2 linked regions of the Nothobranchius furzeri genome follow. The protein of the gene in region 2 interacts with the protein of the main gene of each other region in a pairwise test. Links are inferred from orthologs where the notes say so. Each region holds a gene or a part of one and is shown on either strand. Other genes may lie near its edges.

What was found.
Region 1: the proteins of mapk8ip3 (region 2) and ldlrap1b interact in binary tests that used the Homo sapiens proteins (3 or more experiments, as listed by UniProt). The two-hybrid records come from large-scale screens. The link is inferred for Nothobranchius furzeri from reciprocal best matches to the Homo sapiens genes MAPK8IP3 and LDLRAP1.

The regions. Positions count from the first base shown.
Region 1 is NC_091758.1:35,449,562-35,453,379, forward strand, and holds part of ldlrap1b (low density lipoprotein receptor adapter protein 1b), read right to left. Parts: intron 3,333-3,818; coding exon 3,190-3,332; intron 2,570-3,189; coding exon 2,457-2,569; intron 1-2,456. UniProt on the Homo sapiens protein: Adapter protein (clathrin-associated sorting protein (CLASP)) required for efficient endocytosis of the LDL receptor (LDLR) in polarized cells such as hepatocytes and lymphocytes, but not in non-polarized cells (fibroblasts).
Region 2 is NC_091752.1:51,058,547-51,062,364, forward strand, and holds part of mapk8ip3 (C-Jun-amino-terminal kinase-interacting protein 3), read right to left. Parts: intron 2,444-3,818; coding exon 2,266-2,443; intron 2,200-2,265; coding exon 2,080-2,199; intron 2,006-2,079; coding exon 1,925-2,005; intron 1,834-1,924; coding exon 1,766-1,833; intron 1,550-1,765; coding exon 1,401-1,549; intron 1,328-1,400; coding exon 1,156-1,327; intron 1,059-1,155; coding exon 945-1,058; intron 1-944.

The sequences.
Region 1 (3,818 bases), on a different chromosome or scaffold from region 2:
TTCAATACTGAGATAATTATGTATTTATTTACAGATGAACAAATGAAGGCATGCTGAGAGAGGGAGGGGGTCACAGCTGTGGTCTGAACAACACCAAAGGTCTGGTTGGGGGAACCGGGAGTCCAGAACAGTTCTTATGGGTTTTCAATCTTTTAGTTGTTTAGTTTTAGTTGTTGGTTCAAGAGGTGTTGCATTTACGAGGAAATCATCCATTCATCCTTTCATCCATCTGTCCATCGTTTCATTCTTCCATCCTTTCATCCATCCACTGTCTCCCACTTTTCCAAGGTCTAACTTTTGAGATTTTGCAGCTCCTCCTGGGAGATCCTAAAGCTTTTCCTGGTCATACAGGATCTATAGTCCCTCTTAAAGCTTCCTGCTCTGCCCCAGGGATTTTCCCAATGAGACACTCCCAGGAAACCTCCAGAGGAAGGTGAGCAGATGGGTAATCAGATACCCAACACACCTCAACTAACTCCTTGTGATGAGGAAAAGCCGACTGCTGAACAGTATGAGGTACTGGGGTCTGTTTTAAGGAATCTCTAATCCCTGAACAACCAAAGCAAGCGCTACTAGGTTGAGCTGGTTCCCAGATGGAGTTTGACTCCATTCCATGTCTCCGATCTGAAGGTGAAGGAAACATCTTTGCTGTGAACTAAATTTACTGTGCATCTTCATTCCTTTGGCCGTTCATTTTCAAACGGTTTATTTTTCCTACTCGGAGGTTGGAATTTCCGAGGAGAAAGCGAACGCACCATTAGCTATGTAAACAAAAATGAAACTATCAAGCTAACGTTATCTTAAACAGTTTATTTTGCTGCTGGAGCAGATTAAGAAGACTCGCACTCAGATCGTTGTCGCTGGTTTCAACATCACCAAACAGCCTATCGCAATCAGTGAAGTGAAGCCAAACTTTAGAGCACCATTGCTTTCTTCTAGTCGGAATTTCGGAGTTCCGAGGAAAATGTGAAAGCACATTAGCTGAAGGGAAGCCAACATTTCAAGCTAACATTATTTTAAACGTTTTATTTACCTACCGAAGCAGATTAAGATGATGACGTCTCACTTAGATCGTTGTTGCTGGTTTCATCATCACCCAGGTACCCATTCCATTTAGTGAAGTGGACCCAAACTTCAGAACGCTTCCTCTCTGCCGTGGCGTTGTTTACAGCTAACCCAGAGTGACTGACGACATTACGCTCTTGCGCCGGCGCGCAGCACGGGTACTGGAAAAAGGCACTGTTTCATATGACGTGAATCGGTACTCAGTCGGTACTGTGGAATTCGGTCAGTGCCTTAAAAAGTACTGAATTTGGTACCCATCCCAGCCTCAAGCAAAAGAGTTCAAGTATGTTGTTCTGTGAGTGGATGGATGCTGGACTAACAGTCCATATGAACCTGGAGGTCAAAGGTCAGACATGCAGCTGTTGCTCCCATAAGAGGAAAATGGATTTGTTAAACAAAAGTTTATTTTGGTGTTTTTGGATATGACTCAAACCCGATTTACACTCTGTAAACTTGGATAAATAAACACAGGTCCCCTCCAGGCTTTGCTCGTTCTTGTCTTGGATAAAAAAAATGCAATGTTGATGTTTTATCTCCGCAAATAACCCAAGCCTGAACGTGTTTCGCCATGCTGCGGCATTGCTAGTAGCTAGCAGAAGCTAGCTGGTCACAAGCTGAGGAACGAGGCCAAGAATGCATTATTCCCTCTGGCTTGTTCTGACTCAGTCGTTTTCCCATCTACTTCCTGTCTGCAGCAAACACAGGCGATGAGGGTTAGAGTGCTTTAAAAAAACTGTTCTTATTTAAAAAACAACGGGTATTACACGGTTCCTCAGTGAATGAGATCTTTAAAACAGAAGAACGTTCTTATTCAACACAGTTGAGAGAAGCAGAAGTTCACTTTTAGATTTCTGTAAAATAAACCAAGAAATCAGTAAAGTCAATTTGTCGGTCGCTAACTTCAGAAAAACATCCCAGGCTGAAATTTAAGTCCTTAATTTGACATTTTTATCAGGACAAATTCAGCATTTAAGCCTAATCATCCTTAGAAAATGATGGAACGCCCAGATCTCTCCTTCATAGGCAAACTCATAAATGTGGAATGTGAAAAAGTGATTCCCGCTTGGATCATGAGCTTTAGAGGAAGAAAGACGAGCCTGCAGGCTGAGGCAGGTAAGATAGATCTGTATAAAACAAGACTAATGTGGGAGTCTATGAAGCTGCAGGTCAGAGCTCAGACATGCAGCTGTTGTTGGGCTCCAGGGAGGAATCGGCTCATCTTCCTCTCTTCAGCAGCATCAACTTAGCATGCCACACGTCCGTCGGGTGAAAAATGGAAGCAAGACAAGATGGACAGCTTTTGTTTTAGTGTGGGTGGGTTCTAGACTCCAGGTGGCTCCGTTTGACAGACACAACCACCACGCGAGAGGGGGCAACGGCGAATAACTGACCTGTATATGGAGATATTTTCCATCATCTGGTTTGAGGCACTGTCGAAAAGGATGATTCCACGCGGGGACACTGATAGCGTCACTTTCTGCGGCTTTTTCCCACTGGCTTTGGACTGAGAAGACAGAAAGACAAAAGAAACTAAATCAGACTGAAAATAACAACCTGAATGGGCCATTCAGGCCCGTTCAGACCACAGAGATGACAGAGGTGTACTGAAGTTATCGAGTTCCAATGCATCCAAGTCTGACATTAACAAAAACAAAGTTTAAGGGATAAAACAAGGATTCTACCATGATGTAATCTCACCTATTAATCAGAACGACAGCAAACACACCAAGTCCTCTGTAATCCTCTTCAGAGAGAGATTAGTCTTTATATCTCCCTTCATGCATCATCGTGTTCCACCTTTATGCTGCTGCATTTTCCACCAGATCCAGTAACATTAAGTCTTCTCTGCCGTGATGAAGCTCGCTCAGACACTCGGCAAGTGGCAGAGTCCACGCTAACTCGCCTAAAATGTCAACCTGAGCTGCAGGCCAGCCACCTTCCACTGGTCGAGTCATTACAGAAGAAAACTACTGGACGACTGTTGCGTAGCCGAGGTGATGATGTGGAGAAAATATTATAAATGCTTGACAGAAACTCATTTCTGAGGGAAGTCATATTAATAGAACACTATTGTGTGTGTGTGTGTGTGTGTGTGTGTGTGTGTGTGTGTGTGTCCTCTCTCACCGTGGCCACTATCCTCTTGACAGCTGCTGCAGACAGCTCCTCGCCTTTGGGCTGCTCGACCATCGTGACCCCCAGGTACTTGAGGTGAAACACCATGCCCTCCAGCAGGGTCTCCCTCGTGTCTGTCCAGTTCTCTGGAAGCTCTGCAGGAAGACACACACACACACACACACACGCTCATTAACATATAAAAGGCTTTTTCAGACGAGTCAGACCTGAAAAAAGCTAAAACCCAGTCAGTTTTACAGATATTCGGGTTGCAAACTGGAGTGGCAGCAGCACTGGTTATACAGGCTCTTGTAATATTATGTGAAACTGCACATTTACTTTTAGGACATGACTGTCCACCCTACATCAATTTGAGATCATGTCATGTTCTCATGTTCTCAACATGACATGATCTCAAATTCAAATCCAAGGAACTGAGGTTGTCGTCGTCGTCTTCCTCCGCTTATCCGGGTCCGAGCCACGGGGGCAGCATCCCAACTAGGGAGCTCCAGACTGTCCTCTCCCCGGCCACCTCCACCAGCTCCTCCGGCGTCTGCAGTGATGCGGACGCTGAGCCGATCTGTCGTGGTGAAGAGGGAGCTCAGGCAGAAAGCCAGGCTCTCGATTTACCGGTCGATCTA
Region 2 (3,818 bases):
ACACTCCTTAACGAAAATAGCAGCTGAGACAGTCCCGTGTGTGTGTGTGTGTGTCCCGGAGGACAGAGGACAGGAGAACATGCAGCTAATTAATTAAATAATTTGGTTCTGTACCTTTCTCTTCAGCACAGCCGACAAAGGTTTATGATGGGTCAGTCCTCCTGCATGCTCAGATCATTCCCTTCCCTTGCTTAAAAAATTGTTCCAAAATGAAAGTTGGACCCACATCTTTTTTTATCTGTGAATTCAATGCCGTTCGGCGAGTCTCAAATAAAAATTTGGGCATCTTACTGTAAAAAAATATACCATTAATGTAAAAAAGAAACTCTAAAATAACTATGTTCACATTCAGAACTGAACCCGGGACTTCTGCACAAAAGCCCCAAATCTTACCAGGCGAGCTAAACCATCTGTAACATTTATATTCTTGATGACAGCTGAAACAACGTTCAACGAATGGTTCGGAGGGCTATGCCTGAGCGTGAACGCGCATGAAGCAGCCTGCTCGACCCGAGCAGCTCTCTTTTTCTGTGATTTTACAGAAAAACAGGCAATCACAGTAAAATGCCAGGGCTCATTCTACCGGACCAGGGCATTGCAGGAGAATGTATGAAGAAGAAATTTATTATTTCTATACATGTTTTGGCTGTCAAACTTCCATAATGCCCCTTTAATGATGATCCTACGGAAAGCCACAGACAGAAATGTGTTTTATAGCAAATATTTTTTTCCAACAACATGGAAATGTAAAAAAAAAAAAAACCTCCTTTGAACTTGAATTATATTTTTATAATGCATGAGTTTTCCAGGAGCTGTTAATAATCAGACAAGTTCATCGCAGATTGTTCTGAGTAAAGGCAGAACTATATTTATATAATCCTGCTTTGATTAATCTCTTGATAAAAAAAGTTCGATTTCATATTCTGCTGCGTAACTCCACTCACTTTCTGTCAGCGGGATGGAGATGATCACACCGTTTCCGGTTCCCACCCAGAGACGATTTCCACCAATCAGGAGGGCCGTGATCCGAACAAAAGAGAATCCCAGCTTACCAGTACCTGAGGTTTACAATCAGAGTCAGCGAAGTGTAACGACAGCTAAACCAGTAAAGATTTTTCAAGTCCCCGTAAAAATCAGCTGGTTACACAAACTGACCCAGCATCTTGCTGACATATGGCTCGATGTCAACGTCCTGGAGGTGCTGGTGTGTGTGCGCGTGGTACAGTCGCAGTGTTGAATCTAGTCGGATGGACACCCACACACCGTCACCGATCCACGCCAGCTGCCTCACCTGACTCTCCCTGCGAGGGTGAGCGTCAAAGGACTTCTACGACACCAGAACAGGACTGGGTGGGTAAGGGAATCATCAACAGCTGATGCTCCACCTGTCAGAGACTCACCTCGATCTGCATGCTTTTGGGCTGGATGACATGGATCTTGTTCTTATAGCCGCACCACACTTTATCATGGACAACAGCCATGCAGCGGATGGAGTGATGAGGACGACCCAGGTCCATGAGGTGGTAATTGGACAAGTCCCACTGGCCATCTGTGGAAGAAAAAAAACACACTTTTAAAGCAAAACCTATGTCTCTGAACAGCAGGAGGTCACACCTACAGTATATGAAATAAAACCTAAACCCAAAAGCATTCATGGAACTTCATTTAAAAAGTTTTTGAGAAAAAAGATATTTTTTCAGGTTCCATGAAGCATGGATTAATTACAAAAGAAACCTCCGAAACAGAAAATCCCTAATCCTCCCACCTTCTGATCTATGGAAAATAGCGAGCGTCCCGTCGGCCAGCGCCACCAGAACCCGACCCTTCACGTGTCTGCAGAGACAGAAACCAAAATTCACCATATTTATCTCCAGCTAGCTGATTGGTGACTCATCACGCAGGAGTTCAGATTTGTTTGTCTTACACCAGGCTGAGGACGGAATCTTTCAGTTTGATGGAGTGGAGACACTTCTTCCAGTTTCCAACAGCCGAGTGGACATAGAGCCTAGAAGAAAAGTAAAATTCCTGACAGACCCGGAAAGCCTAAAGGCTCTAAAATGTTTTACTGTAGAGACTCACCAGCCATTCTGGGCCCCGAGCCACATGGTGGGGGCAACACTGGTATAGTTTTTGGTCTCTTCCCCTCCGTCCTCTGACTCTGTGGGTTGGGACGCCTCCTCTTTGGACTGACCTGTGCTCCTGTGTGGATAGACGTGAGCATGAAGGGAGTTCTGATGACTAGTTTGTGCTTAGACAGACTTGTACCTGTCATCTGCCAGACGAGGCTGAGGATCTGTAAAGACATGCTCGGTGAAGGGTCCCGGGGGTCCGGATCTCATCTCTGTGTGGTTGGGAGTAGTTTCAGGAACTTCTGTTGCTTCTGTGGCCTCCTCTGCTGACTGAGCTGGGTGCATCTTCCCGTTCACAGGAGGAGCAGAGGGAGCTAGAGGAGACAGGAACTCAGTTGGTGCAACAGCTAAATATAGAAACACTAAAGAGTTTTTAAAACCTTAAGCTACTGCTTTCAAACTGGATCCAGTATCGCTCTAGAGCCGGAAACTAGACCAACTTTAAATTGGACAGCACTCCATAGCCCTCTGCACTTAACAGTTTTGTAGAAGTCTCTACCTGCTTTACAGCAATAGCTGTTTACTGTGCTGGTAGCTAATATTTAGGCTAGCAGTTAGCTTTTATAGTTCCCCGACTGTCAATAACAAGCACAAGAAGTCTTTGGAGGAGAAGCAAAGGGCTAAAACCAGAGTGAACATCCATATTGTCGTTCTTTTTTAAAGCACAGAAACGGTTTTGTTACCTGTTGTTGACGCTACGTTTCAGCGTCAGCCTGAAGAAGCCGGCAGCTGTCGGCGAAACGTAGCGTCAACAACAGGTAACAAAACTGTTTCTGTGCTTTAAAAAAGAACGACAACATGGAATTAGAAATAACGCACAGCAAGAACACACCTAAGATGTTCAAAGAGTGAACATCGGCGCAGCCTAAACTCGTTTCAGGGAGCTGAAGGAGGCTACAATGTCACAGACTGATGGTGACCTGGGTTTCTTCCTACTGGACTTGAAAGTAAAAACATTTTTTGTCCCAAAGTGGATTTTTTCACGTTTTAGTATTAGTTGGCTCGAGTTAGCATAAGAGGCTGCAGCAGGGTTGTTTACGACAGCTTTAATTCTGCTTTCAACCAGTAGAACGGAGAGGTGGGAAACATATTGAGTGTTACTTGAAAGCAAAAATCCAGACTTTTTTCCCCAGACAGCACCATCTAGAGGCAGAAAAATATATTTCTCTTTTAAGCCCCTCTCCATATTTCCGTGTTTACAGCTGGAAGCAACACCACTTGATCATAAACGTGCACCTCAAGCTGGTCAACAGAGCTAGAGCCCAAAATTTTACAATAATTATTTTGATGTTCAGCTGTTTATTCACACACACACACACACACACACACACACACACACACACACACACACACACACACACACTAACCTAAACTAAAAGTTAACAGGGTTCCCACGCGTCCTGGAAAACCTGGAAAATGATAGTCCAATTTTCCAGTCATGGAAAACACATGGAAAATGGGGGGAATTGCAAAATGTCCTGGAAATTTTTGAGTTGTCCTGGAAAATAATTTTCCATCCTTGTGGATAAACAAATGGATTAAACATTTTGGGCAATATTGGGCTGTAGCGCTTCTCCTTTAATTTCTGCATCTAGCTGGCACAGCGCCCCACATGACGCTTCCAACCAATCAGATTGCATAATCCCCTTCAGTTCCAGTTCCACTTCTGTTTTTCCAACTGTCTTTTTG